Drosophila melanogaster: one gene and its partners. The protein of the gene in region 4 interacts with the protein of the main gene of each other region in a pairwise test. Each region holds a gene or a part of one and is shown on either strand. Other genes may lie near its edges.

Region 1 (8,460 bases), 2.4 Mb from region 4:
TACTACATGGAGCCAATTCCGGGTATTACGTAAGTAACTTGACCTTTACATAAGCCTTTTCCTTACATAAACTAATATTTTCATTTTCTTTCAGCTTGTATGAGAATGTCCCGACGGTCATGATACCCATGATGTGGTGCGAGGAGCGCGTACGCGTATCAGAGGAAATTGCCGCAGACATTGCGCTTGTTCCGCTAATTGTCCTGCTGGGGCAGATAGTAACCGGCATCCTTTTGGCGGGCGGTCTTATATGCACCTGCTGGTACCCGACGCGACAAGTGACGCACTTTTGTCACAGCGATCCAAAGGCGAAGGCCAGTGTCCTGCGACCACTGAACGCCTTTGGTGTAAATTCGTCGGCAGCCACAGCGCCGGTGGCCCAACTATTCCGGAACAACATTAGTTCATCGGGCAACGAGCGTGTGGGAGTGCGCCTACTGGATTATAATCGCGATTCTGGCATAAGACTGGAGAGTGGTACCATGGAAAGCTCGCACAGGGAGCGTCTGATCAGCGAGGACTCGCCCGATGTTGTAGTTAGATAATACATGCGTTGGCATCAAGCCATTCTGACGGTGCCGCCAACGATCATCTGCCTGAGACTCATTTACGTCGCCGTAGCTTAGAATAGCTTAGAACAACGTGATGAAACCATTCTGCCTTAGCCAGGCTCTAAGAGGCTGGACCAAGTTGCTCATCGAGGATGTCGTTCCAATTCACGTCACATACCACCACATTACCTACCACGCATGCCCCAATCGCATTAGGAGTTCCCTCAACACATCTGCACGCTTTGCGGACAGCGAGAGAGATTTATAAGATTATTTATTTTAGTGCCAAATAACAGCAGAAAACGCAAGCAAAAAGTCATTAACTATTTTAGTAGGATAAACTAAATTGTATATAGAGCGACTCGCTTAGAGCGCCCCATTACTCATTTTCCTTAATTCTTGAAGTTTAAACTGCGCATGCCCAAAGTATTTATATTTATATAATAATGCATAACATTTGTAGAGCGATATTTAAGATTTTAATGCAGATTGATCTGAAGTTATATAGAAATAATATTGAACAGAGAACATAGGTAGCGAGAATTGTTGCTCATTTACATAGGTAGGCCGAAAAACTAAAAATTATAGTTGTTGTTTTAAGTCTTGTACAAATAACGCTAGCACTGCAAAGATTACGCATATCCTATGTACAAATGTCGATCAGTGTAAGATCTAAATACCTAGATTATAAAGCACAGCTGTGAACCCCGGAAATATTTCCAAAAATTCCTTAAGATAAATGAATAGAAAAAATTATTAAAATCAAGTGATCAAAGAGGGACTTTCTGAAAATGGCAGTAGTTACTAAAACTACGTATGGAGACCCTGAAAAAAAAATATCCAAACATATCTTCATATAAATTTTAAATTCGAAATCCAATCAATTTATACATTTGTTACTATTAAACTTTACATTTGTCTTTGCCTTGAGAAACATATTCCCTTAAATAAGTTTCTTTAAATCCACACAATACACTTGAATAATTAAATGTGTTTTAAAATTCATCTTTTTTATATAAGATGACTCGTCATCCAAGGCGATTTCCAACAATTCCACCTAAACGAAAATAAAACTGTCAACACATAAAAGTATAAGTTTTAATTATGTTTTCTGGAAGTTGTATAAAAATTGCTCTGATTACCGTACTTATATTAATTACGTATATTATAACCGCTGCATCCAGCTGGACAGAGCCCAAAAACAAAGGCTCATGAAACTGAAGCCAAACAGGGATTTGAAGGTGCTGGCTCCGTTGCCGGGATTGTCCAGGTTCAATTGTGAGGCCAGCTCCTCCGGCACATCCAGATAGACTCTATCCAAGCCGAAGCTGAAGATCAGTTTGCGCAACTTATCCACATCCACATAGTCACCGGCAGACGACCAGATGGTCAGGGTGCTCTCGTTTGTCTCGTTCACCGCGGCCACCAGTCGATGCAGTTGCTCCTCGCTGTTGGCGGCAATGCCAGCGCGCACGGGAAAGGTTATGGCCTGGCCAGTGGATAGGACATTGTTCTCGCTCAGCGTTTCCAGCATGTCATCACACTGCTGCTGCGTGTACTCGCCATCCCGGAAGTCGGCTCCCCAGTTAGTTGTCCAGCCAATGGAGAGCACTGCCTGTTTGTAGCGCATACAGCCGGCGAAGAATCGGTCCGCATCAACGGGTACGGTTCTATTCTGTTCCACGGGACCACTTAGAATATCGGCGTTTATCCACACAGGATACGTGGTAGGCTGCACAACACAGAGATATTGTTTAATTTGTTCTGATATCTGAGATTCGATGACCAAACTTACGTTCGGAATATTCACGTCCAGAATGTCCAGGGAACCCTCGAATACCTCGATCGACTTGAAGTCGAGCTTAACGCCCTTTTTTTGGTCCTCATGATCACGGTTGAAATTAATGATCTGGTTGAGAAATTCCGACAGCGTAAGATCAGAGACATTGGCCGGCGGATGGGCCATTATGGGCATGTCCTCGCCATCGCCATTCAGTTTGCCCAGCACAATGTCCGCTTCGATGAAGTCAATGCCACCTTGGGCAGGGAAATGATACTATTGATAAGTTGGTTACACGCGCATATTTGGCCAATGATCTTACTGGTTTCGGTTAGGACCTCGTCCAGCAATTGCTGGCTGTTGACGGCATGGGCCCAGGTAATGGCAGTGAGATTTGTGCCCCATACCTTCATCATATCCGACTGTTTGAGGAATATATATTCGATCTGGGAATCGTCTGGCGCTGTCTGCTCGACCACCACTTGGTACTGATAATTGCTGGCGTTCAGAGCAGACCCATTGATTTTGGCCACGAGCACTGCGAGTGGACGTGAAATAGACGGCATTAATATTCCACAATTGGACAATGGGACGCACAGAGGGCATAATATGGCAGATACGCGTAGATAAGCCCATTTGCCTTCCTTACCACCCTACCAGCGAGAATTGATACGCAAACACATGCAATCCAATCCAATGTGAATTTGTTTACTTCGCAATGAGCGTGTACATATGTATGTGTGCGCGAATGGACTCTAATTAACTCCCTTTGTTATGCGATTTTTATGGAATGCAAAGCGCGTTGTGCCCTTCTTCCGCTTTCACCGAATGCTGCAATGCAACTGCACATCAATAATTCTCTTCAATCTGTCAGCTGTGCAATGGCGCAAGCGTAGAGAGCAGACGTGAAGTGAGAATGGCGAGAAATGTGCTTAACTTCAAGAGACCGACGCTCATATACCCTAGCTCTAAGAGTTTACATGACAACTTATTGACAAAAAATAACAAAATGTTGCTATTTTACGTTTTACCCCCTTTTTGCGATTGTGTAAATGTATTATCAAGTAATGTTACCCAACACACTCGTCAGATTTAAATGTTTTAATTGAGTACAGGAGCATCGACTATCAGATACCTGTTAGTTTTTTTAAGTTATGTCAAAACTAAACTGTCTGGATCCTAATGTTTCCAAGCGACCCAGGGGTCGTATGTACATGAGTTAAAAACATTAAAAAATGATGATATGTAATGATTTTGAAAAGTGCAAAAATACGAATTACCAAATAGTAGCGTTGTAAGTAGAAAGGTAATTTTTGAGTCCATTTTTTCTATAGGTCTAAGGGCACTTGATCATGAACTTGGGACCGCCACGGTTAGAAACGAACTAAATGGCAATTTTTCAGTTTGGCTTATCGATAGCATTTGCTGATTTAATTAAACATTGATTAAGTATTGTAAATTGGTAGTGACAATCTATCCGCATATCCCAAAATCTAATCTTTTAAGTGGTCACGTTATCCGATGAACTCGCGGACTAGTTAAACTAGTTACTACATTATAAAGAAGAAAGAACAAACAAACGTTTTTATGGAAATTATTACCACACATCTTGTAAAATCATATATTTCATTAAGTACGATTTACATTTATTTGCTTATTAAAAGATAAAATGTTATTTAAATAAGTTTAGACCGCGGTCTCTGTTAGAAAAGCGTTGCATTTTAACATTTCTGTTAAATGAGCAGCAGTAATAGAAGAGAAAACGTAAGAGAGCGGTTCAAAGAGCGGCACTAGAGTGACCATGCGGCGGTACACAAGAAATGCGGCCAATAAGCGAGAGCACAAACTTTACCGAAACGAGCGCTAGAAGAACTGGCCACACTACACCCCCGACACTCAGTTTTAGTTCGAAAATTTAACGGCTCTGGAACCGTTCGGACGTGTCGCTCTCGGTGCGCGTGTGTGTGAGTGGCGAATATAAATATCGGGGGAAAAGCTCGCACGTGCGACGCTTGCGAAAAAAAAAATTGAAAATATATAGTAAAATTGTTGTTTTATTTATGAGTCGAACTAATGTCCCGTCAGTTGACTAAGGACAACGCCAAGAAATAAAAAATAGTTTTAGGAGAAATAGTTTCACGACTTTATTCTTTGGATCTCAGCTTAAGACTAAAAATCAAATGCAAATTGGATTGAGGAGAAGCCTCAGTATTTGAACAATATTTGTATTTCGGGAGAGCCTCGCTCTTGGGTTCTTAAGATTAGGTAGCGTTGAAAGAGGGCAGTCAAATCTGCTTAGGTCAGGCTTTAGGATGTTTACAAGAACGGCTGCGCTGCCAAAGATAAACGAATGCTGCGCAGCTGGGATACGTTATGGAAAATTACTAGAGTGCATTACTGATTTCTTTGAAATAATGGAAGTGGCTGGTTTGGACCACCCAAATACGTCACTCCCCTTCCCTTAAAGAGAAGCCTATACTTGGGCTGGGATTGATGGATATAGTGTGGGAAATGGAGTTTCTTCTATTTCTGTTTGTTGTGGTGTGTTTTGATTTTGATTTTTTCTTATTTTAAGTTTTGCATACAGCATCATAAATGGTTTAAATGATACATATCTTAAATATGAGTACAACAAAATTAGTGCGATTATTACAATGATCATTTGTATGTAAAGTGTAATATTGTTCTCTGAAATCATCTCAACAATGTCGTTGTGTTTTACAATTTTTATTTTTGTTATATTAAGTGGTGTGTATAGTGATGTCAAATCTATTTCTGGTTCTAACAGATTTTCACTTAAAATTATATTATTGATTTCTATTTTGCATTGCGTTACTCTTATCATTTTGTTTCCTTCTATTTTTATTTTATTAATTGAATTTTGGCAATTTTGGTTAAGAATTGTTTGGGTTAAGTTCCAGGTTACAATTGTGTTTGGTTCTATGTATTTTATTATTTCGTTCGTGTGTACTGGCTTAAAATTACAAATTGGATTTAAGTGTTTAATAATATTGGTGACACATTCATTTTTTACTTCTTTATTTTCGGTATTATAAACTTTATTTTCTTTTTCAAAATATGATTGTGTGTCTGTGTAATCTAGCTGATAGCCGTTGGAGTCTGGGTAAGGAATTATTTTAATTGTGCTTATTAGTGAAAGGTAAATGGGTATGTGGGATATGATTAATACTTGGTTATCATTGTAGTTAATCCAAGTGGATGTTTTAATGTTCAAAATGTTTTGGCTGTTCACATTTTCAAGTTTGTCGTAGTTTAGTAATTTGGGGTTAAACAGTCCAAGTCTGGAAAGCTGCATAGCCATTTCCAAATCTTCTATGTATTCCGTCATTTATCAATCGTATGGCGTCGTTGAGTTCATGTAATTTTACTGAGTTATGGACGTTGATTTCAAGTTTTTTCTGTATTTCGACTCGATCATTTTCATCTAGTGTTCCAAATAGGTATTTAAAACCTGAACCCACAATGTTAATAAGACCCCGTTTGTTTCTATGTTTCAGGGTTATTCCGGCTAGTTCTCTTTTTATTTTATTGTATAAAAAATTGATCTGGGGTGCATGGTAATCGGTTCGTAGTCTTTGCTCAAAATAGTCAACCACGATGTCTATTTCAGTTAAATTGATTTTTAAGGAGTGATGTTCAAAGGAGGATGGTATCTGTACTGGCTTATCAGAAAAAAGGAGGTATCCGTGGTTGGTGTCAATATTATTAATTTGAATTTGTTGTCCATGAACAGCTGTGATCAGTATAAACAATAGTGTTATCGGGTACCAGGTGCCTGTGAAATTGAGAGTTTATTATTTTTCTTTTGTTTTTTGAATTGTGTTTTGTAGTAGTGCGTAACTCTATTTCTATTAGTGATTTTGTAATGGTCAGGGTCTGTCTGTTCTACATTTTTGGTTGGTTTAAATGGGTTTTCTAATTTGCCTTTCTGTAGTGGACCTTTTCTGTAATTAGTGTCAATATTAAATTCCTGTCTGTCTTCATTTATTTTGTCTATTTTCTTCTCTTTAATTTTTTGAGTGTCTAATATGGGATGCCCAGCGTATAAGAAAATTTGAGCAGGTGTCTGTCCAGTAGTGTCATGTTTAATTTTATGGTTGTATGTGTAGAGGATTGTTTCTATCTTGCTTAATTTTACTTCTTCATCATCAGATGAATTGATTATACGAATTTTTTCATTTATTGTTTTGTGTAATCTTTCGACGTCTGCTACCCCGTTTTTTGCTGTATTGAGCTGTAATTCGACTTCTTCTTCTTCAAGCCATCGCTTTAAAGCTAAACTGGAGAAAGCTCCGTCTCTGTCTGCCTTTAATAATTTGGGTTTACCTAGTTGATTAAAAATGCGCATTAATGCGTTTCTGCATTCTATCCAATCCTTAGTTTTAATTTGCTCAAGTGTAGCGAATTTAGAATAAATATCAATGCAACTGATGTAATGTTTTCCCTCAGATGAATAAATATCTACTACAAATTTTTCTCGGCAATGTTCCGGGTTGGGTGTGATTTTTAAAGGCATTTTGGTGTTTCTATGTTCTGTTTTGGCCAAATTGCATATGTTGCATTCGTTTATTATATTCTGAATTAATAGTTGGCTATTTGGAAAGAAGTGATTTTCTTTAAATAATTTTGTCATTTTCTGTATACCAGGGTGTAAAAGTTTTTCATGTGATTGAAGTATGATTTCTTTGAATTCGGCGTATGAACCAACGTTCTTTAATAGGAAAAGACTGCGAATTACTTTTGTGTAGGTGGTATTAACAATTTCTATGTGTGCTCTTTGAATAATTTCAAAATCTACATCGCTCTCAATATAAATGGTAATGTTTCTATGGATAAAGTGATCGAGTAAAATTTGTTTGGCCTTTTCAAGTGTCATTACATCATATTGAATTGTGGTAATGGAGTTACCGAATATTTTTGAATGCTCTACTTTATTTTTATCGGATTTAATAAAGATTATTTGTTTTTTGAAATAATTTATTGGTTTTTCTGTTAAATGAATAAGGTTGCTATTGTCCTCTTCTGCACTATGTTGAGTAGCTTCACTATGATGATTTTCTTCAATTTTAATTCTTGATAATGCATCGGCAACTGAATTTTCTTTCCCTTTAATATAATCTATTTTAAATTGGTATTCGCTTAATCTAACTCTCCATCTTTCTAACTTAGCATTCGGTTCCTTTAAGTTATGAAGCCATCTAAGAGGTTGATGGTCACTGGCAATGAGAAATTGTCGTCCTAGTAAATAATGTCGAAAAGTTTTTGTGGCCCAAACTATGGCAAGTAATTCTTTTTCGATAGCACTGTAATTTAATTCGTGATCGTTAAGTGTTCTACTAATAAAAGATATAGGATGACCGTTTTGAGAAAGGACAGCCCCGAGGGCCAAGTTACTTGCATCTGTGGTTAAAACAAATTTCTTTTCAAAATCAGGTAATTGTAAAATTGGGTCACGAATTATCAAAGCCTTAAGTTTTTCGAATGCCTCTATGTACTCAAGTTTTTGTGTATCTATCTTTGCTCCTTTTTTTAAGCAGCTGGTCATGGGTTTTGCTATGTCTGCGTAATTTGGAATAAATTTGCGATAATAACCTGTTAATCCAAGGAAAGCTCTTATCTCTTTTACTTTTGTCGGAATTGGGTATGAAACTATGGCTTTAACTTTAATAGGATTTGGTTTAATACCATCAGGGGTAACTATGTGACCAAGAAAGTTAGCTTCCTTTTTTAAGAACTCACATTTGTCTAGTTGCAATTTTAAATTTGCATCTGCAAGCTTTGTAAAAACTAATTGTATTGAATTTAAATGTTCTGTAAGGGATGTTGAAAAAATTATAATATCATCCAGATACACCAAACAGTGTTTGTTAAGCAACGGTCGAAGGATATTATTCATGCACCTTTGAAAAGTAGCGGGTGCATTCCTAAGGCCAAATGGCATTCGAAGGTATTCGTAATGACCGCTTTTTGTGGAGAATGCAGTTTTAGAAATTGATTCTTCGTCCATTTCTATTTGATGAAATCCCTTTGCCAGATCGATCGTTGTAAAATATTGGCATTTACCCAGTTTGCCAAGAATTTCGTCCATATTTGGAATTGGATATCTGT
Region 2 (10,086 bases), on a different chromosome or scaffold from region 4:
AGGAGACCATCTTCGCCATGTTGGTGGAGATCACAGAGCGCGCCATGGCACACTGCGGCTCAAATGAGGTTGGTTGCAACAGTTTTCCGAAATTAATCTATGAGTTAACCGACTTCTTTTCAGGTCCTTATAGTTGGAGGTGTGGGTTGCAATGAGCGACTCCAGGAGATGATGCGTATTATGTGCGAGGAACGCGGAGGCAAACTCTTTGCCACTGATGAACGTTACTGCATAGACAACGGACTAATGATTGCCCATGCTGGTGCAGAAATGTTCCGCTCTGGCACTAGGATGCCCTTTGAGGAATCTTATGTGACTCAGCGATTTCGAACGGACGAAGTGCTGGTCAGCTGGCGGGATGACTAATCACCACAAGAACTTATTTCTGTGCATCGTTTGTTTATTAAATAACTAGTGTCCATAATAACTTCATATTTGTAAAATGCATGTGTTTAGGATGTGAACGAATTAACCCACTTAAAGGGCCTGTTCCTTGCCCGTCCACTGGGGCTTAATTTCCAAAGGGTAAACGCGCTTACCCTCGATGACATAGACAGCTCCGTTCTTGTCCTTCTCCAGGACATTCAGAATGCATCGAGAGACATCAGCGGCACTCTGCTTGTTTAGCCTATCCAGGATCCTATAGGTCTCGTCACTCGTTTCCGGGAAGATGATCTTCTCCGTAAAGTTGGTGAACATGTCCGTCATTGTAGCTCCAGGACAAACAGTCACAAACTTGATGCCCGAGCGTTGATAGTACTTTTCGTTCTAATTAAGAAAGAGACTTAAATGAAAAACCTAATTCAAAAGATATGTAAGAAATTCTTGTTACCGCCAAGCACCGGGTGAAGTTGATGATGCCAGCCTTGGTGGCTCCGTAAACGGGAATGATGAACATTGGATCCAGACCCACCACCGAGCTCATGTTAACCACAATGCCACCCTTGCCGCCATTATCCTTGCCCATGTAGGGCAATGCACTCAGTGTGGAATTGATGATTCCACCGAGATTTACCAACAGAGTCCTCTGCACATCCTTGTCGTTAAAAATCCCGGCTACATTGACCACAATATCGATGTTACCGAAGGTCTTGGCTATCTCCTCATAGGTGGCTTCCACACCCTTCTTGTTCGCCACATCCATCTTGATGATCATTACGCTTTGGGTGGGATGAGCGGCCCTAAGTTTTACAAACTCCTCCAGATTATCCTGCAAATCAATGATGGCCACCTTCTAGGAAGCACTCGCTTTAGAAATTACTTCACGTAATTATGTGTAAAACAACCAACCGCTGCTCCAGCGGCCAGGAGCTGCTTGGACACCTGCAGTCCAATGCCTCCAGCTCCACCGGTCACCACTGCATTCTTGCCGCGAAAGGACATCTTGGTCTGGCTGATTCGTGTAGTAGTCGGTGGTATTCCTTGTGGCTTCATCAAGCACTGAGCTCCTCAGTTGCACTGCTGACTTGGAGCTGTAATGTTCGCCGCTTTTATACCTATTTCCCAAGGGCTATATGATATATCGTTGAGTGACTTTGGTTCGACTGCAATCAATAGCTAGTTTTCCACCTGCTCTGGGTTAGGATTATGCAACTTATGCCCATATATCAATTTCCATCCCCATCTGGTCGCTGTAGCGTTCAGTCTGCTTCACACCGCTCCGGTTTTTCGATGTCAGCTTTGCATCAGTGATAATGTCATTGTGTAGATAAAGCAATGATCTCTTAATAACTATCTTCCAGTGAAATCTTTGCTTTTAAGAAGGTACACATGTTGGGCATTTTTCAAAGATCTTACAATTAAATGTATATTTCGATTTACAAAACCATCTTAATTGCTTTAAAATTTTGGTTTTTTAAATTGTATTTCCTCCCAATACAAATTTTAGCAATGCAAATATTTTAAAGTGTATTTATTCAAGCAAAATTCTTGTGAAAACATAACATATATCTACATATGTATGTCGTATATCTTTGGTTTCCATATGTGATATTTAAATTTCTTTCACAAATTGTAATATTAAAAGTTTATCTGTTATCTTAAGACTACCAAACATGGGTTTGATTGCCATGAAATGTATATAAATTTGATTTGGATTTACTTTTGAACTCTTTTTGGGCCGCTTCAAAATTTTACGTATCAAAGGACAAAGAAGGATAAACAAAGTAAAGGAACTCAAAAATTATAATCAAAAATATAAGTTTATTTGTAAGCACTTAAATTATCACAAACTTATTATATACACAAAGATAAATTAGATTGGGAGACATTAACTAGGGAAACACAAAAGTTAGAAATACAGATTTATGAGAGGGTGAAAAACGGTGGTTACCCCATCTAGTGGGCATTGTCGTAGGTGTCCTTGTGCTGGTAGCCACTCACATATCCGGATCCATCGACCACGTTCCGTCTGCCCGCGATACCCTTGCCCTTTCCGGAGGCATCGAAACGCTCCTTGTGGGAACCGGTGTACTTGCTCGTATCCGTCAATCGATCCACGGCAGCTGCGGCTTTTCCAGCCTAAAAATGGTAACAAAATGTTGATTAGGTTTTCAATAAAGGCATAAAGTATATGGTTATGACTTTCAAAGGTTTAAAAAGATATTTTTTAAGAACTTCTGTAAGAAAACTACTTTAACAATTGATAGTTTAAATGAGTCAAAAAAAAATCATTTAAATTTTGTCATATCTAAATGGTCTTCTCGAAGTTCTTTACACTTTAAAATCAATCTTAATCATTTGACTTATATAGATCATATTTTTCACAACCAATTTATCAAACCCACCGAAACGGACACAACTCCTGGAGCTCCACAACTGGCCAACTTTTGCTTGATCTCCGACAGCTCCACCTTTTTCGTCTTGGCCAGATCGTCCAGGAATTTGTTGTAGTCGCTGAGCGAGATCTTCATGGCCTTGAACTTCTTGAAGTGGATGCCTGTATCCGTGGTGGTGATCTTCTTGTCGATAACTTTGGCCTGTTTCATCCACTTGTCACTCTGCGACAGCGTTATCAGCTTGCCATCGGACTTGGAGTCCCCGAACTTGGAGAAGGCCTTGAACTGATCCGAAAAGCTAACCTTGGGCTCATCCTCCAGCGCCAATTGGGCCAACTCGGTAGCGGGCACCTCAGGAGTTGGCGCTGGGGAGGGGCTTCCATTTGCTGCAGCTACCTCGGACATGGTGGATCTGAAAAATATATTTAATATTATATATATTTTTTTAACCTTTACTGAACCCTACAGGTGTTTTAATAGATGCCCAGTAATAAATAAACAACTACGGACAAAGAACCTTCAATTTTACAGATGGACTGAGGATCATTTATTATTAATAATATGCCTAGCCTGATAGGTCATTGTTTTGTTTAACATTTTGTAGTGGTTTCTTCCAACACGCAACTTTTCCGCTCCTGCGTAATCGGTTGACTACGGTTGTCACCTACGCAGTTCCTCACCTGTGGGCCACAACGCTCACCAACATTGCGGTGGGTCTTGTCCGTCACTGTCAACTATCTACATATGTAGGTGCTATTCCCAGACGTATCTTTGCGAACACCTTATCAGTACTTTACTCACTTCGCTTTCGCAATGATATCACAACCCATGCTGAACTGGACAAAGGCAAAGCTATACCCACCCAAAGCTAGGCCAAAGCTCTCTCAGCTAGATTTCGAGAGATGGAAATCTAAAGGCAAATTGGGAGAGACTCAATCATTAGATGGCGTCATCGGTTTGGGTCCCCCATCTCCCAACGCAGCTAATTATCGCCTTTTGGCAAACCCAAATACACAAAACAAATAGTCAACAGGTTTGGCTCACATGGGTTACTCTATGGGGGTCAGAACTTAGCGCTAGCTTGCTAGATCTTTTATGATTAGTCTCTAGCATGCAGTTATCATGGGTTTTAATAATCCTAAGGCGATATTAGGTATTTACGGTACAGCTATACAGTTATAGATATACCCTAAAATTATTAAAATGAATCACTTTTACGCTTATTAAAATAACAAAAAGAGCAATAAATATTTTACGCATCGCCAGAAATTCCTCGCTTAATTTGTTACCCACCGAACGTGGCATAAATTTGGATGATAATTTAGTTTTAAAATTGCTTGTAGCATAAATTGTCCTCTTGTTTACAGGCTACCCAACACGAAGTCGAATCCTCAGACCCATCCCCATCATTCCATAAACAGTAAATAAAACGTGAGCATTTATTGGCGGAGCCATTAATTACGCACCACTTAAGGTTGCAAGTTGGAGCCCCAGGAGAGATGGAAGCCGTTTGGGCAAGCATTTAATGCGGCGATAAGATGCGACTGCAACCAGTTTGGAGTCCTCTATCCGTGAGATATGATGCCACGGCTTGTGCCCGCACAGATGCGAATCGAAATCGAAGTGGACGGGCGGGGTAGAATCACCATGACCTTGATGCAGCCCGTCGAGCATGTCAAATACTATTTTACCACCCCCTAGCCCCATTCGCAATCCAAATCGAAAAATGAGTGCTTATGTCATCGCCTCATTACGCCGGCTCTTGATTACGCTGTTCTGGGATCAGCTTTGAATAGCTCTGGGGTGAGGCAATTTAATAGCCCATATTCCCCAGATAATCCATCGAAATGATCTATGTAAACTGAGTGGTTAATTGGGAACATTGCATGCATAGCAAGTCTGCCGGTCATTAATCATCTTATTGGTCTCAAGACCAGGGCCATTGAACTTGAACTCCGCTCAAGACGATACAAATTATCCGGTCCCAGTTCCCGGACAAGACTAATGGAACCCTTTACTCCGCCCCTACATGTAATTGGAAGCCATAAATACTCGGAAACAAGAAAAGTTGACAAACTACACCACAAAAGAAGTTGGAATATGCAAGAAGAGTTTTAAGATGGCAAAAAACAAGAGGCTATCGACTAGGAAATTACCTGTAAAATCAAAACTAATAAGAAATATCTTTAGGTTATCTATGGTGGCTTTCAAAATGCTTTTTTTCACAATAGAATTCATTTTGTAATATTAGTAAAATCAATCTTTTTTAACTACCATCAGCCAATGCAAATAGTTCGGATTGTTAGATCCAATTTTCTACACTAAGATTGACGTTATTAGTTTGATTTTTAATAGAAGCCCGATTGCTAATAATTTTCTGAAAGGTTTTACAAAAATCTAAATATTATAATTATTCGAGGGAAATACTAACAGTTTAAGATGATCGTAATCAATTTAAAAAGCGGAAGTATTAAATCATCGCAATCGACAATGGAAAGACTCATCCTATGATACCCTGATCAGACTTGGATACTATATTCACACAAAATAAATTATTTTCTTAATATTCTTTGGCAACTCAAAGTGCAGATACCCCTCGTGAAATGAATGGCAGAAAATCAGGCAGTCTGATGGGGAGCGTGGATAGTCTAAATCAGAAATAATCCGCTTGCTTGTCAGACCATAAATAATTCGATTCTTCTCATTTCCCATCTCTGTTTTGGATTCTTTCTCTGTATTTTCGATTTGGAGAACAAGTTCTCATCCAGCTCCAGTCGAGCATTGCGAATTCGTTGCCAACATTTTAATTAGTTTTCTACCAAAATGGTAAAAGTTAATTGGGCAATATATATGACATATGACCACAATTTGAATAGGAATATGAATGAATATTATAGATAGCCATTTTCGAAAAGAATGGACTTCCTGGAGAGGGGAACGCAATTATAAACCCAACCTACCTCAAGTGGACCGCTGGAAAGCGAATGGAGGAAGCGAAATTTGGGTCATCTCGATGTATATTTATAAAACAAACGACTTTGGGGGGAGAAACATGAAATACTGCACCACATATGAGTTTACGTGTGTTAATAAACACACAGAAATATTAGCACCTCGGACTGAATGCATAAATTAAAGAGAACTTTTATTTTGGGGGGAACAAAACAGGAAGTCATGGGCATTCTGATAGAGCACGCAACGCAATAGAGAAATCATTGACTTAGGAGGGGGACTTATGCTCGGGACATAATATGTGTATGAAATGTGTAGCTACATCACCACTAGCCCAGATGACATCACTGGGAGCTGGGAAACGCGCAAGCGCCAGTTTGGAGAAGGGGTTTCCTGGGGGGTCTCGGTACTGGAATTTCAGACTGATGATTCAAATGCACGCATATATACACACGGAAGCGGGGAAAATGCGCCTAAATCAGGACCTCCCAAAGGAAATCGAAAACAATGGTGCTCCCCAGGAACAAAAGAAAAGGGGAACGCGATGCGCGGTAAGTGGGTCAAAATCTGCTCTTGAAAATATGAACCTGCTACTCATAAAATGAATAAAAAAAATATCCTTGGCTCGGAGTCTGCTTATAGATGCAGGATACAGTAACATTTTAAAAAAAAAAATAAATCCAACGAACTAGATTATTTTTCTCGAAACGTTTCCAACTTACATTTGTTATTAAAAAAGTTCCAAAAATTCTTGAATATATTTCCAAAAAAATATTTGTTTTATTCCTCGGCTATTTTCCAATCACTTTAAGGCAAACGCGCGAATGCTGGCGATGTCGAAACTCAACTGTTTGGACAAATGCGCAGCCAGTGGCTAGCGAAGGCCCAAGCGGCGTATGAGTGATATTTTTGTTTTGAGTGAGCTTTCGCTGAGTGAAATAGAAACTCAAAAAGGAAAATCCTCCTTAGCATTTTATCCAAAGAAAAGATGGCAAATCGTTGGTGAGCTAACATAAATTCCAAAACTTTCTGAATGAGATAAGGAAAACGATTTGGATCTTATAGACACTTTTACTGACCCCCCAATTTTTTTTCAAGCGATGACTTCATTTCGCAAAATTTTATACACGAAAACTAACAACGAAAGCCACACGACGAAGCCATTTATCAGAAAGAAAAAGAAACAAACGAGACCTAAAAACAACTCAGAATAACAAAAGTGACGCTACACACCAGAATCTTATCAAACCAACAAGTTACACTCAAAATTTTGGTTTGTTGTGAGTGAAATTCTAGGGAATAAAGCTTAAAGCTTTTCCTGATTTTATATTGTCTAAAGAGAAGGGGAGGGGTTCGCCACACAGTCTGAGCTACTAAAACAGTGAGTTTGTAGTCAGTAAATTTGTTTAAGCGCAAAAAAACAAAAAACGATGCGTGAAATTGTTGGGCAAAAAACACACACAACAAGTGCCAGACAATTCGAATAATGAAGGGTGTATCTTTTGGGCTTACTTAGACGTGTTTTTGGGGTGTGACTTGGGCTATACTAACCAGTGAGCTCATGCTTAGCTATGCAAATGAGTACTTATTTCAAGCGGTTAAGATTTGTCGACCGCCTTACTAGGTAAATGGGTTCTTTGAACTTTTCTATTTTGGACATTCAGGAAAAAGTAAAAGTCAAATAGGAAATCATAAGGAAATTACTTCGCACTCCATAAAATGATTAAACACATACTGAAACAACAAGCCCGTCCTAAACCCAAAACAAACCCTAAACGAACGAAAAAAAAACCTTTGACATTGATTTATGAGAACTGACGGTCGGAAGAATTTGGTAAGTTTTTGTGGCCAACTCGATGAAGTCATAGCCCTGGCCCAAAACCAAAATACAAAGCAACTGAAAGACTAACTTGGAAAACGAAATACCCTGAGGAGACTTCTAATTAATTTCGTAAATTAAGCATTAGGTATTACAAACAGAGGTCCATTGATTATTATTATTTAATATACAATGTTTGATATGTAATTTAAATATTTCATTCTACAATATTCATTTAGTTTATTGACCAGATGACGTTTAGAATATTCTTTAATTAAAATTAGAAAGAGTTAAATTTCCTATATTTATGGAATGTTTTACAGCTGAAATACCTTTTAGACTGATTCGTTTGCTCTTTTTTTCTAGGACATAAAATCAAAGTACTCCCAGTCCTGAAAAATGAAAAACATGATTCTTGCCACCTGGCCTATCTTAAGTGCACCTTTAATTAGCCACGAAGGCAGTTCAAAGAACCAATGGTGGTACACAAATCAGGGCACAGTCCACTCGAGACAGAACAAAGGGAGTGAACCAAGTGGACCGGACTATATTGCCAATCCAACTTCAATTCCAGGCCAGAACTAACCAGCTCATTAAGCCAGGCTGGAATGGTTGTAGAGAATTGGGCTTTGATTGAAACTGAGTGCCAACGGGGCTAACATTAAAACGCACTTATCAGCCGAGCCGTCAAGGCCAATCCAATGTGGTTCTTGCAGTTGCTCCTCCTCCTCCTCCTAATCGGGAGCGAAGTTTAAGCACCAGAGATCTGAGGCATCCGATAAGCCCGCTGCTAAAAATAAAAATGACCAGCGAAGGAGGAACAGGAGATACCAATGCAGCTGCAGTGCATCAGAGGCGGATGGGAAACATATTCTTAGGGGGTTTTCTTAGTGTCCGGTTGAAATAAGTATATATCTTCAGTGTATACTATAAGGTGTCTAAAAATTCACATTATATTATTTATTTAGCGGACTTAACGATTTAATTAACCCTTTTCTGTGTCATATTTGTAAGCTCTTCGCATAAAACATATATTTCTTATGTACATACATATGTATCTAACCAAGTATTATAATTTTTAAGGGTACTTATGACCCCCCTAAGACCCCCATTTTGTTCGCCACTGGAGTGCATGACTCCCGTGTCCAAGCTGTGGCCAAATGTGGCCCTTGGCCTTCACTCACCTTGAGATGCCGTTGTTGTCGTCGTCGGTTGTTGCCACAGTTGTTGCATTTGCTGTTGCAGTTGAAGTTGCTGTTGTTGTCGTGGCCCCGTTGCAGTGTGCGAACAAAAAGGAGGCTGAGATGCCACAATGCTGTGGCAGCAACAACGATTGCATATCAATTACACGCTGGTCTGGATGCGGTCTTTGGCCTTGATGGTCCACCCAGCCAAGGCCCTTGGCTCGCTTGCAGATCCAGATGCAGATGCAGATGGAGATGCCAGGCAGCGATTGCTCCTCCCGCTGCGGAGAACCAGGGTCTGCCTCCCTCATTTGGGCCCACTCCAGCCTTGGCCACAATTAAACCAAATTGACAACGCCTTCACGAGGCGTCGATCCCCAAAAGGGGAGTGAAAGGCGGAGCTGCAATGTCCGTTAACGACACAAGTGGACACGACGACGCATTCGCATCTCCTCGTTTGCATTGAAGTGCATCTGATGGATACATTTGGAGAAAAAATTAATTGGCTGTTTACTATTTTAAAATGTGACAGATATTATTACTATTAGGTTATTCTTTAATGAAATACGTGTGCTTGTACAAATTTGATGAATTCTATTTAAGTACAATAAACCACCTTTTTTATCAATAATAAAATATTTTTTTAATGATTGTCATAATCATAAAATTAAAATTTCAGGAATTTAAGAACAGTCTTTTTTAGCAATATTATTATTTATATGCATTTAAATTTATGTTTTAAGCTTTGTACAAATCATTATTAAACAAATTACGAACTACTTATTTTTGGATTTAATTTAAGTCATAAAAATCACGTTACTATATTAGGGTAAAAGAGCATAAAACATTTGTATACTCTCTTAGATAATAATATGGCATACTTTTAGAATTTTTTCGCAGTGTATCAGAATAGAAGCATCTGACCGGCAGGAACCTCAGCCAGAACCAGAACCTAGAACTCGCGAAAGAACCTGCTGGGTATAAAAGGATGAAGACCTAGGCTCAGAATCAACAGTTACCAGTGAACTGACGAACAAGACTCACTCGAAGCAATCTTCCACTGCCCAACCATGAAGTATCCACTTCTGCTGTTAGGAAGCCTCAGCTTGGCCCACGGACTGGCCTTGTACTATCCCTATGCGTACACTGCCGAGGGATCCGCCGTGTTCACGCCCACCCAGCGCCAGTATATCGCCAAGGATGAGTTGGGTCAGTACTCCTATGGCTATTCGGAACCATTGTCCAGCAAACAGGAGACCCGCACCCTAGACGGAATCACCCAAGGATACTATAGTTACCGGGATGCGGCGGGAAAGCTGCAAACGGTTAACTATGTGGCCGACAACAAAGGTTT
Region 3 (7,006 bases), on a different chromosome or scaffold from region 4:
TGGAACAAGTTCAAGAAGGAGAAGAAGGACCTCAAGCTGAAGCGCAAGAGTGCCAAGGACACCTACGAGATCAGCAAGGAGGCCAACCAGATCCACGAGAAGTTGCGATGGTGAGCATCCCCAAAAACACGATGAACAGCCCAAACAATCGGTTATTATCATCCTTAGCGCTCAAATTACCTATACAAATTATGATAGCTCAACAAAATCGGGCTCTTTCATGCACTTATGTACATTCAGAACGTACAAAGTTGTTTAAATTTCATAAGGCATCAATCTATACGATATAGTTTTAATAATTATAAGTCATTTTGGTTCCTTAAAGGACAAGATATCGATAAACATGGCCATGTGGATCCCAAAACGAAGCACCTGTTCGTGGAAAAACCGAACATTGCCACTTGGTTCGAATTCAAAAACACCAAACATTTTATTCATGTTCTTGAAACAATAATAGCTAGTTAAGCATTTTGATCAGTATCAAAACTAAGTTAATATAGCCTTGTATTTCTGTATAAATGTTGAGTTAGAACCAAGAGCGTAGATTCCAAAGACGCCTATTTAGCGCATGCTGTTTTGTTTGGTCATAAACAAACCAGCTCTATCCTCTGTCGCGTTTTTTTTTTTTTTCGTAAAATTACAACTAATGAATGCGCAAATCCTATTGCTCTGATATATATATATCAACATAATTTGGTGCTTGTCTTGCAGCCGCCGAACGGAGAACAAGGACAAGCTGGTGGAGCAGATATACAAGGTGCTCAACGTGGGCGACACTATTTCAAAGGTGGTGAAGGCCCACGACACCGCCCGCGTGATCCAGAGCATGCTAAAGTACGCGTCGCCAGCTCTGCGGGCCGAGATCTCTGAGAAGCTGCTTCCCTTCACCGTGGAGATGTGCCAGTCGAAATACGCCCAGTTCTGCGTGCAACGGATGCTCAAGTACGGTGCGCCAGCCACCAAAGCCAAGCTGGTGGACAGCCTGTACGGACATATAGTGCGTTTGGCCGGACACAGCATCGGCAGTGGGCTGCTGGATTCGATGTATCAGAGCGCCACACCCAATCAGCGCATCTATATGCGCCAGGAGTTCTACGGCGATCTGTACCGGAAGGCCAAGGATTCGAATGTGAAGACTCTGAGCGACACCTATAAGGAGGCCACGAACATGAAGGCCTCCATTTTGGGGTCGGTTAAAGCAAACCTGGATCATGTGGCCAACAAGCAGCTGGTGGACAGTGCGCTGGTGCACGCCGTGATGCTGGAGTACCTGCGCGCCTGCGACGAAGATGAGGAGAAGCTGGAGGAGACGGTCACTGCGTTTGCGGCTCTAGTGCCTCACATGCTGTCCACCAAGGAGGGCAGCGAGGCGGCTGTTATATGCTTCTACAAGTCGACGCCCAAGAATCGCAGAGTAAGTGGATCACGTATAACGTGTGTTGATGAAACAGAATCTTATATGTATTCTAACCCCTTCTTCAGGCCATTATCAAGAATATCAAGGAGCACCTGCTAAAGATCGCCAACCATGAGCACGGCCACGTGTTCCTCATCTCGCTGCTAAACGCACTGGACGACACTAAGGCGACCAAGAAGGCAATTTACGATCACCTACACGGAGATCTAAAGGCGCTAATGAGCAGCCCGTACGGCCGACGAGTGATTCAATGGCTGGTGGCTCCGGGTGATACGACATGCTTCCATCCAGAGTTCATTCGCACGGTGGAGGAGGGTCTAGCCTTTGGAAAAAAGGAGAAGGAGCTGCGTCGCAAGGAGATCCTTGAGCAGATAGAGGCGCCGATTGCACAGTCCATCGCCGAGGATGCCGCCTTTTGGCTGTCCAACAGCCACATCGGCCTGGTCACCGGCGATATTCTTAATCACAGTAAGTGCACACTTCTGAAAGCCATAGCAGAAACATACATATGGATTTACAAGAATATGTTCACGATATTAATGTACGTTTGCATCTCTGCCTTTTAGTTCAAGGCGAGTCCTATGAGAAGGCTGCTTCGGCCCTTGCCCAAGTCGTCGTCCAACCGGAGTGGCGCATTTCAGCAGACGCCGCCGGTCCGCAGCCGCAGGATAAGAAGAAGCCTCACAATGACGTGGAGGCCATTATAGCCCAGGCCACCAAACAGCGCAGAAAACTGCTTTATGTCGAGAGCAGCAGCGACGACGAAGATGAAGATGAAGATGAAGATGAGGAGAGCGACGATGAAGGAGACGAGAAGGAGCAGAAGGAGGCGGCCGCAGATGATGCCGAACCCAAGGTGAAGAAAGCCAAAAAGGAGCCCAAAAAGCCAAAGGCAAAGGAGGAGGAGCCGGCGGCTCCGTTGGTCTCCGGAATCGAGGAGGCCGGCATGCACATTGTATTGAAGAAGATACTCAAGAACGATGGCAAGCGAGAGGGCACCCCGTTCAGCCAACAGCTACTCCAAAACTTGTCCTCCGATGTGGTAAGTACCCAAAAATCATGCCATCCGGTAACCGAGGGTATCTTCCTTTTTCCCAGTCATGAGAAACGCATCGTACTTTTGAGTTTTTTCTTTTATTTAATGACGTTTCGACATTCCTTTAGCTTTAGTCTAATAAATAAGTAGTCGCAAAGTAAACAGCTTCACTCAGATTCCAATTCCTAATTGCGATTCCCTTTCCCTTTTCAGCTGAAAGCCTGGCTGGGCGTCAACCGGGCCTGTTTTGTCCTGCTCAAGCTGGTGGAGGAGTGTCCCGCACTGCTGGACGACTGCAAGAAAGCCATCGCGGCGGAGAGGAGCCTTAGCCAGATACTCGCGGACCGTAAGACGCCCGGAGCCAAGCTACTGGCCGCCAAACTGGACATTGGCAAATGAGAAACGCTTCTAGCCTAGACAAGACCTAACATTTTAAAATACAATAAATAATTCTATATTGAAATGGCTGGGCATTCCGTTTTATTCATGTGAAGGGACGCGAGTTGTGCTGTGGGTCGGTGCTCGATGAGTCTATGCCTTGCGCAGGATGATGTGCAGGCCGGAGTCGCTGTCGACGATGCCCGACAGCTGGTTGACGTTCAATTTGAAGGCAGCGTCCTCGAAAGCCGCCTGCATCTGACCTGTGAGATGTGAAATGTAATTAGAAGCAGTTGCAGGTCGGTTGGGTGGCCTAAACTCTACGATTGCAAGTAGCTCGCGAAGTTATAGGTACAAAAATGTGTAAGGTAAGGAAGATTAAAAAAGAAATGCCGCGGAGCCAATTGCAAATAGTGTTTGTCTATAACTATGCATCTATAATCTATTAGTGGTCGATATATCTTCTCTTCTCTTCTCTTGAATATTGAAAACAATCAGAGCCTCTAGTGGAAGTACCAATCTGTTTCTGGATTGCGCCTCAAGTGGGAAGCGCCTTATTCCTAAACGGACACACATCGAGGACCACTCGATCCTGGACGTGTGACAAATGCACAGTGGGGAGATATACATACCTCTGCCGAACTTTCCCAGGTCGCCGCCCCTCTTGGCGGAGCTGCAGTCGGAGTAGGAGCGGGCCAGCTCGTCGAATGTGGCCTCCTGCTGGACGATTTTGTTGCGATAGACCTCGAGGAGCAGCTGGGCCTCCTCCTTGGTGCGCGTGATGTTCGCCTCGCGCCACGAGCTGGGACGCCGACTGCCCTTGTGCTTAACCAGCAGATGCAGGCAATGCACCTCGTCCGGTGCATCTCCGCCGCCGGCGGATCCTCCGCCCGCCTTCTTCGCCGGCTCTGTGGGCTGATCCCACTGCGACTCCTTTGTGTACATATTGAGATAATAGCTCATTCCTGCAAAATCAATCATGATCAATCAAGTGCAGGTTCAGTTTAGCGTGCCGGTTCCGCATTCCGCCGGAAAACCGCCGGCATGGCACGAGCGGGACTGCACACGATGCTTACCTGTGGAGCGGCTAGTGCGCTTCTCCCAGCCGTCCGGTAGTTGCTCGGCATCTGGCATGCTGTTTTCACTTAATTTGAGTTAAATTACAAATAGTTTTCGGAATAAAATAAACCACCAGTGTGACCGCGCCGAACACGCTTTGAGAACATCCATCAAAATCGATAGCGCCTGCCATCGACATATCGATACACATGGTGGCGAATTCGCCAAATAAGGTGCTGGCACGTGCTAACTGCGGTGGGTGCACTCGCTAACCGCAGATACAGCTGAGGCCAATATAATAGCAGCGAACTAACAATAATGTGCTGATATGTGCTATTCTGATATGTTATATGTATCTTTTGCCGAAAAATTAGCACATAACTTAATTAAATCTATTCCAATACCTCCTTCAATCCGCGACACGAATAGAGGAATTTCAATTTTTCTAATGTTTATTCAGGGGATTAATAAAAATAAAATAAATACGTGGGCATTTGTACAATTAGTTTTAGTGCTTCCTTGACTTTATTACAGGCTAGCTTTAAGTAGGTTAACATTTTAAAAGGACTAGCACAGGGGAGTAATCCTCTCAGCTCAGCGTATGTATATATATATATATATATATATATTGCGTATTTGTAGGCATATGTGATATACATACATATGTATGTATATTTGCATTCAATATACTCATGTGGTTTTCTCGCAGGGAGTGGGCGAATACTTGGCGTTCTTGGAGTTAGCTAATTATTTAGTTAGGGGCGGGAGCAAGTGAGCTAATAAAAAAATTTAAATTAATTATACAAAACAATTAAATACATTTTATAAAAGTACAAACACACGATCTTCACTCACGACCTGAAGGAAGGGCTTGGCTTGGCCCTTTCATTCTTTTTCCCTCGATACAATTTTGCTTTGTCATGTCTTCTGGGGCAGCTACTCTGTCACGGCAGCTGCCCAGCGCATCTTCCCAGCGAACAACATTCGCATCCGGCTAACAGAGGTCTAACTTAATGCTTAATGACCAATTTACAACTCGATGGGGCTCCTCTAACGGGCTAAGATTAGTGGGTAACACCTCTAAGGTGCCTCTATTCATTTCATAAAACTAAACTCACATTGCAGGCGTGCTCTTCGACTTCTGGTTAATAAATGCACTTCCCGAGGCCGATTCACTAGCTCTGACAGGGACTCGAAGGCGCCAATCGAGACAAGCAAGACAAAAACTAGCGCCTTTTAGGCGCTTTCCTTGCGGAGACCTAAATGGCCACATAGCGGCGGTGCATGAATTAGGGAAATTTAAAAGAACTACTCGACGATGCTCCTTCAGTTGGCTAAAATTATAAATACACCTTGAAGGCGCTCCAGCCGTGGAAGCACTTGGTGAAACGGCGCGACTCCTTGTTCTTCATCGTGAGGAAGAGCTTCCTCGGCCGCTCCGGCTGCTTGATCCGCATGTGCTGGATGTAGACCTGGGCGGACTTGTAGGCCAGCTTCACCTCCACCTCGCTGCAACGCGGTCCCATCCACAGGAAGACGTGCTCGCCGTTGTCCAGGATCATGATATCGTCGTCGGCCAGATCGTCCTGGCAAAAGTCGGCGCACTTCTCGGCCACCGTGTAGTAGCCGCGCTCGTTGGAGCACCGGAACAGCCGCGTGTAGTTCATGTACTCGGCGTCCGTATCGTAAGGCTTGCGGCCGCCCAGCGCCACCCAGAAGAAGTTCTCCGGCTCGTCGCCCTCGTTGAGAATCTGCAAAGGATGGATGAAAAGAAACGATTAACAAGAGCGTGTACCTTAATATAAACATATGTACAATATATTCCACAAAACAGCCCACTACATGGTTGAACCACATTAACACATGGAACCCACCTGTAAGCTCACCCACGGCGAGTTGAACATCTGCTCGGCAATATCCTGCACCAGTTTGGCCTCTTCGTTGCAGGCCTTGCTGCCTATCCACACGTACACAATCCCCGACTGCGAATCGTCCTCCGTTTCAAATGGCACATGGAGTATGTAGCTGAAATAATGCGTATGGAATATAAATATTGGAGCGACTACTACTATGTTCGCTATCTTTTGGATATATATAAATAATACTGTGTCATATCACGTAGGCTTCCAGGAATTTCAGTTTCAACCAACGATAAGACAAGAATGTTGATCCAATAAAATCGCACTTGTCATACATCTCAAAAAAAAAAACTGGGTGATTATTACCACCCACAGTAATAAATTATTGGTAATTTGCTCACCAGAAGGTTGAGTTGAGATGCACTGCATCCGGATTAATTTGGATAAGGCGAGTGGTGAGCGCACCGCCGTTCGATCGCAGGTGAAAGAACTCAACTGGCGACTTGCCCTTCGCGGTGTGCGCCTTGTCCTTCCGCTTGCCGGTGTGGATGATGAACTTCCGCTTGAAGTGGGACATGAACTTGAGGTTCTCCTGCTGCTGGAAGATCCGCACCACCTCCAGCTCCTCGCCGAACATCGCCTTGAACTTCTTCTGCAGTGTAAAGGTAAACGTGAGCCATCCCATATTGCCGGCATTGCGTCCCTGCCAAAAGTAAACGACGCACTGGATCTCGTCCTCTGGCTGATTGTTGGCGCTGGATTTACTGACGTCTGCGGCTGGGTTAGCACCATCTTCGGAGCCATTCTCGGGCTCCTCGATGGGAATGCAATAGCGGCAGAGGAACACATAGCATTCGCCGGTGTAAAAGCGACCCAATTCCTCCTCGGGCAGCCGGACGAACTTCTTGTTCTCCAGTACAAAGGCCTCCATCATCTCCAGATCGTAGTTCCACTCCTCCTCCAACTGTTCCGCCTCCGCCAATGGCATGGCCGACTGTCGGGGCATAAATAGCGCGGCAAGATCCGTGCGCGTCTCCTGCTGCCGAGCCCACTGTGTGAGATTAGCCCCTGTCTTGGCCACCGACTTCGCCGTTCTCGTGAAGTCCACGGCCATTACCTCATCCCAGCCAGCGAACTTGGTTCGGAAGATCTGCATTTCATTGCCCTCGGGTACACGCATCACCAGCGCATAATCCGGACGATCCATCATGTTAAAGAGCTCCCGACTCAACTTGACAGCGGCCGCTCGGACCAAAC
Region 4 (6,336 bases):
AGAGCATGCGAGGCTGCAGCCTTTACATCCTCCGAGGTGGCCCCAAAGCATTCAATAATTGTCTGCGGCAGCACCTGTATGGAGCTCAGATCAAAGTGCCTGCCAATCTCACCGATGGTGAGCAAACAGAATATGATTTCCGTATCGTTACGCTTCTGCAGATCCGTTATCAGCTTTGTGGCCAATGGGGTCGCCACCTGGGGACACTGCTGTGTTAAGGCAGCAATGCACTTGGCCGATGAGTGATAGGCCTGCTTGTGCAGCTGCACCACCTCACTGGGAGCGCCGGCAGTGGCTCTGGATTTGACGTCACCGTTGCCACCCAGAACTGGTGCCATTAGCTTCGAAACGAGCGAATGATAGTCCAGGCCAGACAGCTGTGTTTGCACCAAGGCCTGGAACAGCTCCAACGTGCAATTCAATGCGGATCCCTGTAGCAAAGAAATCAGTTATTAGTTTTGCTAATTACTCAGCTGTTAATTAAAATTCACCCACCTGCAGCAAAGGAGATCGAACCAAAATGAGCACGGAGCGCAAGAACTGCTCATGTATGCCGACCAGAGCTTGGGGCTGCCTGCGAGCTACGGTGCTCAAAAGCGTCAGAGAGTACTGGGCTACGTGCAAATCCGAATCCGATATAAGCGGTGGGATCTCAACTATGGCTGTCTGCAGAAGGTTCGCCTCGAAGTTGCTCGAATAGTTGATGACGATCTTGTTGATCAGATCGAGGGAGTGCAGCTTGAGGGCGCGGTGGTTCTTACGCAGGAATGTGCCCAATGCGGGCAACACGTCGTGCAGGATGGGTGTCAGATCTATGCGCAGGGACGAAGCTGCGATCAGGGTCAACGCCTTCACGCTGCTCAAACGGGTTACTTCGTTCTTTAGGCGCTCCATGAAGATTGGCAGGCAAACCGCCAGCTCATTCTGCAGCATGTCGCCCATGTTGGCGATAATCTGCCCCATGCAGGCTATGGCTCGCTCCTTTACCTCCTGGTCGACATCCGTCACTTTCAGTTTCTGCAATGTGCACGAGTAAACCTGACCCACAAACGATGGGGCATCAAAGTCGGACTTGGCCGCATTCGGTTCTAATGGACGAATCACCTTTACCAACTGCTGCAGCACCAAAAGCGCCTCGGTGGCAATCTTATAGAAAGGATCGAAGACCGAAGTCACTACGAGGGGCACCAGTAGGGGAATATGTGGATGAAAGACATGCGGCGGATGTCCTTGGAGCAGCGAGTAAAGGAATCCCAGAGATTCGATCTTCATGTTGCTGGTAGAGCTTTTGTCATTCAGCGAATAGCTTATGCCTGGCACAATGCTGTCCAAGTAGGGTCCCAGGGCACCTGGTAGCGAATTCAACAGCTCGCGCAGCAAGAGGAAGCAGTCTTGACGCGTTTTCATCGATTTTTCCCTCATTAACGGCTGTATGGCTTTCACAATGAGTGGCAGCTGCTCAATTAACAGCGAGGTCGGACCCGATACCTGATCCATTGAGTCGTGGTCGTTGGCCACGTCGTCGGTGAGGCGTGTGTTCTTTAGCAGGGCCACATAGGCGTGAAATATGTCGGACTTAACATTCTCCTCACGCTCCTTGAAGCGCGCAATCAAAGCCGGACTCAGGCTGCGATAGAAGTCCTCGACGAGCTCCTGCCGTGTGGATATCAAGACCTCCAGACACTTGGCTGCAGCGCGACGAACCTTCCAGCTCATGTCGTCGTCGTCACTGTACTCCTCACTATCGACGTACTCATCATCCTCCGTGTCCATGGCATTGCCAGTGTCGCCATCATCCGTCTCGTAGTTGTAGTTTGGATCGTAGGTGATATAGTTGAGGCACAGCTCCAGGATCTAACAAAACCCATAAGCTATTAAACGTGAATGAGAACATAAAGCATGTGTACTCCTTACCATGGGAATATGCGGGTTTATGGCATCTGGGCAGCGCATGACGAAAGCTTCGCAGGCCTGCAGACAAAACTCGCGCAGCTCATCGTCATCCCGCTGGCTGTACTGGCTCAGCAGGAGCATGGAGCGATCAATGTGATTGCAAAGTCGATGGCCAGCCTGTCGACTAAAGAGTAAAGTTAAATAAAATTGCATCTAAAGATCATATGGCATAAAATATATAACAATTTCAGGAATTGGAACTTACCATATCGAAGCCAGGCACTGAATGTAAGTTCGAATGGCAGCTGGATTTGGTGGGTTCTCTAGGCCATCGAGCAGATGATCGATGACACCGTTGTAGGCGTTGCTATTGGCCTGGATCAGCAGAAATGACAGGGCCACGATGGTACGCTTGCGAACAGCCTGGCGCGATGAGGCCAACTGGGGCATCAGAGCTTTCAGAATGGTGCTGTGGAAGGGAACGAGGAACTCCCCGAAGCGAGAGAGCAGATCGGCCAGAATGTCCAGCGACTCCAGTTTCACAGAGACGTCCTCCTATTAAGGAACAACGGATTAAACGTTTGGGTGCCTAGGGAATAGCAATATAACGCACCTTCTCAATTGCTGTGCTCAGTTTGCCGGTGATCCTTTGACAGACATTTGGGGCCAGGGAGTTTGAGGACTGCGGCAGCTCGGCAATCACTGTCTTTAGGCCAATACTCGATATGTCGCGCAGCTGCTCCGTGTTGGACATCATGTTGGCGCACAGCGAGTCCACGATGGTCTCCACCTGGATCTCCTTCACCTTGTTGACCAGGGGACCCAGGCACTTGACAGCCAGGTTCTGAACTTCGCCGTTCTTGTCTTCCAGCAGCTTGAGCACCATTCGCACCACCTTTTTCTCGGACTCGTCGTCCAGGATGATGCTATCCTTCTGTAGCTCCGTCATCAGATCGTTTGTCGCCATGAAACGGAAGTCCTTGTCCGTCGACGTCATCTGCAGCAGACGAGAGAGCGGAATTAGAATTTCGTTATGTTGCAAAAATGAAATTCTATACATACTTTTTCCAGCAAATTGGCAATTTGGTGGTACTGATGTGACGCCATAGCGAAGGCTTTGAAACGTTCGATCGATAGCAATTAACTGATAAGTGAAATATTGTGTATTTGTATTGGGCTGCCCTATTTTTGGTGTTCTAAAACTTGAAAATTTACTGAAATTTTTCCGGTATTGAATCTCCAAGTTTTATATTCACTCAATTTTGTTATAAAGGCTGCTTAAGTGGGCCCACTTTGAAAAACTAAAAAACCCACTTTATAATCCCTAATGCCTTTTGGATGCCGATAATGGTTTTGGTACATTTTCGTGGTATAAAATACGGTGGAGAAATATTTTGGAACAAGATTTTATGTACTAGTAAATTTTTATATTTAGGTTATTTTATTTTTGAGTTAATACATGACAATCAAAATATAAATATATATATTATCAAATATTAATTCCCAATTTATTTACTAGTAAAATACTTTGTGTCATTACCATCGTTTCAGATGAACGATATATCAGCTATGTGGCACTAAGAGTCTCCCATCTCTAGAAAAGTGCCGCTCGTTTTCAGGAATTATTTTAAACTAAACCGCAGCTCACTGCTAGAATTCAATCAAAATACCTTTTTAACACCAATAAATGCTAACAAAATGGATCAGATTTTAAACAAGGAAAACACCGGCATTAATTGTAAGTTGAATTAGGTTCGACTCCCGTTCGTGTTAGTAATTACATAGCCATTTATCATTGCAGTGCCAGCGAATCCCATTAAAAATGGAGTTCCTACAAATTCCGTATTGAAGAAACCTCTTGGTAACCTTGACAATGTGATGCACCAAACTCCTGGAATAACCCCGTTCAAAAGCACTTCTCTGAAACTCGAGGGTAGTATTGCCAAGCTTTCGCTGCGAAAGGCCCCCAAACAAAATGTGGTCAGCAGGGATCGCGAGGAAGTTAGGTATAAAACAAATAGCTGCTTTTTGGGCGCCTACGTATTGAATTGCGAATACAGAGTCGTCAATTTGTTCAACTACACTGACTTTCCGAACGAGAAATGTTTGAAGAACTGCAGCAAGCGTAAGTACCGCTCATATTAAACAACTCCCCTTGAAAATTGTACTATAAGTTGTATTATTACAGCGGTCACAGAGACCTGGTCGGAAAATCAAGAGGGCTATGAAGGACTATTGGATCAACTTTATCTTGATCTGCGCACATTGGAAAATAATTTGGAAAACAGATGCCTTCCGCCCCTAGATTTTACTGACCTGCCATACATATACAACACAGAAAACATGGAGCCTGCAGAGCCTGAATACTTATTAAATTTATATCCCCCATTGCCTAACTTGGAAGGCATTGATGTTCTATTTTAGATCCTTGTTTAAAAGTTCTATGATTAATTGTAGTTTAATATTTTTTAGCTAGGTATCTTTGTACTACTAATTAATTATTTATTAATGTTATGCTAAGAGAAACTGTTATACCATTAGCTATCCAAGTTTGTTGTCTCGAATCACATTTGTGAAAAATATTTTTTTTACGCTACAATATATTTAGTAGTTTAAGAACCGACATTAAGCCTCCAACAGGCAATTATATGTGTACGATGTACCTCGTTTGGAAGTGATTTTGAATTAAAGCAACTATAAAAACTAACTGGGAGATTAATTTATGGAGCTTTGGAGTTCAGTTGTGAATGTAAACAGAGTTTATTGCTTCCACCTTTTGTCTCTTGATATTTATCAGCATTCGCGGGGCTTAAGTATATTCACTCCGTTTATATTGAATTTGATATTTGGTGGAATAATTCTAATCTATTTTTAGGGTTTCCTCTGTGTTTGCCTAATATGAAAAGTTTATATTTATTTGGGAATTAAACATTTTTGTTCAGTAAACCAAAATATTTTCCCAGCTAGCTAGCTTTTGTTTGCATCTTGTTAGCCTTTTCCCGCTAAATGACGTCTGGCTTTTTTCTGGTGGCCAACAGTTGGCAACACTGCGGCACAGTAATGTATCCAGTTTTTTTTACATTGCTGCAGAAAGGTTTCTCGTCTCGCTGGTGACCTTAGTGGTCCGTTCTCCTGGATAAAATAAAAGTGAAAATTAACAATATGAGTGTATAAAACGAAATGTAAATGCAAAAGAGGTATAAATCTAACAAATAAACATATACTCGTGCAAATGAACATAAAAAGACTCACTTAAGATGTGCAATTGTTCACTAATAATTGTGTTTGTGTTAAAATTATGACCTAATACGGCAATTGGTACAAAATACATACGCATTTAACAAACTTTCCGACCACACCGAATCGAAAGACTTAGGCGACAAACTCGTAATTGCCGAGGGATGTTGCGATGTACATATGTTTAAAGACGTGGCAGTGTCACCAGTGCAACAATACATCTCTTGTATGTATGTAAACATATGCTGTTAATGTATAATATTTCCTGTCTGATGAAATCAAGATCGAAACTAATTACCGACACTTCAATGGACTTTTAGTGAACAAAAAATTAAATTAACACATGTACTAAGTATTTGTAGCCAATAAATTAATTAGATGTTAATTTCTGCAGCCACTGAATGATATGCGGTTTTATTTGTGCTGAAAACGAAACCCGAAACCATTCTTTGTTCAACACAATATTGAATAATCTTAAAAATGGTCTATCCCGAAGAACCTTTTTGGGTTTTACCAACCGTAACTGGATTTTACGAGGATAGAGATTATAGAGGTGAGTTTGATTTGTGTTTGTTTTTTTTTTTATCTATTAGTATAAACCAGTCGCATAATTCGCATATCGTTCAGTAAATGTCGTTGAAGCCCTACAAGAGTTTTGGCAAATGAAGCAGTCTCGTGGAGCTGAATTGAAAAATGGAGCTCTTGTGATTTACGAATCGATTCCGTCTAATAGCCAGCCATACATTTGCTTCGTAACACTTCCTGGAGGAAGCTGCTTTGGAAGTTTTCAAGTAACTACGTTATTAGCAAAGTGTTGACGCAGTGTTTTGTAACACATTTACTACATTTTAGAACTGTCCCACCAAGGCAGAGGCTCGTCGCAGTTCGGCCAAGATCGCCCTAATGAATTCCGTCTTTAATGAGCATCCATCGCGTCGAATCAGCGATGAGTTCATTCAAAAGGCGGTTCAGGATGCTCGCACTTCCTTCAAGGGCACATCGCAAATCAACGAGGGCACAGAATCGGGCATCGGAGCATTCAGGTGGGTTCCATAAACCATAATATATGCACTTGCTATTGAAACCCTATCTTTCTAAGTATTATGAATTAATAAACATTTTTCTGAGTTTAGATTCATGCTGGAGGCGAACAAGGGAAGAACCATGCTGGAGTTCCAGGAGCTTATGACCGTGTTCCAACTGCTT

The links.
Region 1: the proteins of pim (region 4) and CG7231 interact in a two-hybrid assay, tested with the Drosophila melanogaster proteins (one large-scale study listed by BioGRID).
Region 2: the proteins of pim (region 4) and ringer interact in a two-hybrid assay, tested with the Drosophila melanogaster proteins (one large-scale study listed by BioGRID).
Region 3: the proteins of pim (region 4) and dod interact in a two-hybrid assay, tested with the Drosophila melanogaster proteins (one large-scale study listed by BioGRID).

The regions. Positions count from the first base shown.
Region 1 is NT_033779.5:7,979,962-7,988,421, reverse strand, and holds CG7231 (uncharacterized protein), read right to left. Parts: upstream 4,477-8,460; 5' UTR 4,184-4,476; intron 3,882-4,183; 5' UTR 3,655-3,881; coding exon 3,612-3,654; intron 3,148-3,611; exon of another isoform or gene 2,929-3,147; intron 2,870-2,928; coding exon 2,654-2,869; intron 2,589-2,653; coding exon 2,338-2,588; intron 2,284-2,337; coding exon 1,717-2,283; 3' UTR 1,637-1,716; downstream 1-1,636. Other genes in the region: pes (peste), read left to right, coding at 1-29, 95-545.
Region 2 is NT_037436.4:16,352,848-16,362,933, forward strand, and holds ringer (ringmaker), read right to left. Parts: upstream 6,582-10,086; 5' UTR 6,452-6,581; intron 3,602-6,451; exon of another isoform or gene 3,458-3,601; intron 3,345-3,457; exon of another isoform or gene 3,244-3,344; intron 3,190-3,243; 5' UTR 3,183-3,189; coding exon 2,787-3,182; intron 2,521-2,786; coding exon 2,338-2,520; 3' UTR 1,899-2,337; downstream 1-1,898. Other genes in the region: Tcs3 (Threonyl-carbamoyl synthesis 3), read left to right, coding at 1-68, 124-366; Pdh (photoreceptor dehydrogenase), read right to left, coding at 478-768, 833-1,234, 1,291-1,434; Cpr72Ea (cuticular protein 72Ea), read left to right, coding at 9,803-10,086.
Region 3 is NC_004354.4:21,342,410-21,349,415, reverse strand, and holds dod (dodo), read right to left. Parts: upstream 4,059-7,006; 5' UTR 3,966-4,058; coding exon 3,908-3,965; intron 3,797-3,907; coding exon 3,464-3,796; intron 3,095-3,463; coding exon 2,985-3,094; 3' UTR 2,853-2,984; coding exon of another isoform or gene 2,667-2,852; 3' UTR 2,558-2,666; downstream 1-2,557. Other genes in the region: peng (penguin), read left to right, coding at 1-110, 712-1,414, 1,483-1,885, 1,984-2,459, 2,667-2,852; fliI (flightless I), read right to left, coding at 5,231-5,641, 5,765-5,915, 6,151-7,006.
Region 4 is NT_033779.5:10,359,508-10,365,843, forward strand, and holds pim (pimples), read left to right. Parts: upstream 1-3,481; 5' UTR 3,482-3,591; coding exon 3,592-3,631; intron 3,632-3,694; coding exon 3,695-4,018; intron 4,019-4,081; coding exon 4,082-4,317; 3' UTR 4,318-4,585; downstream 4,586-6,336. Other genes in the region: Cand1 (Cullin-associated and neddylation-dissociated 1), read right to left, coding at 1-431, 496-1,854, 1,915-2,077, 2,159-2,448, 2,507-2,890, 2,956-3,000; lft (lowfat), read left to right, coding at 5,611-5,683, 5,758-5,921, 5,983-6,173, 6,264-6,336.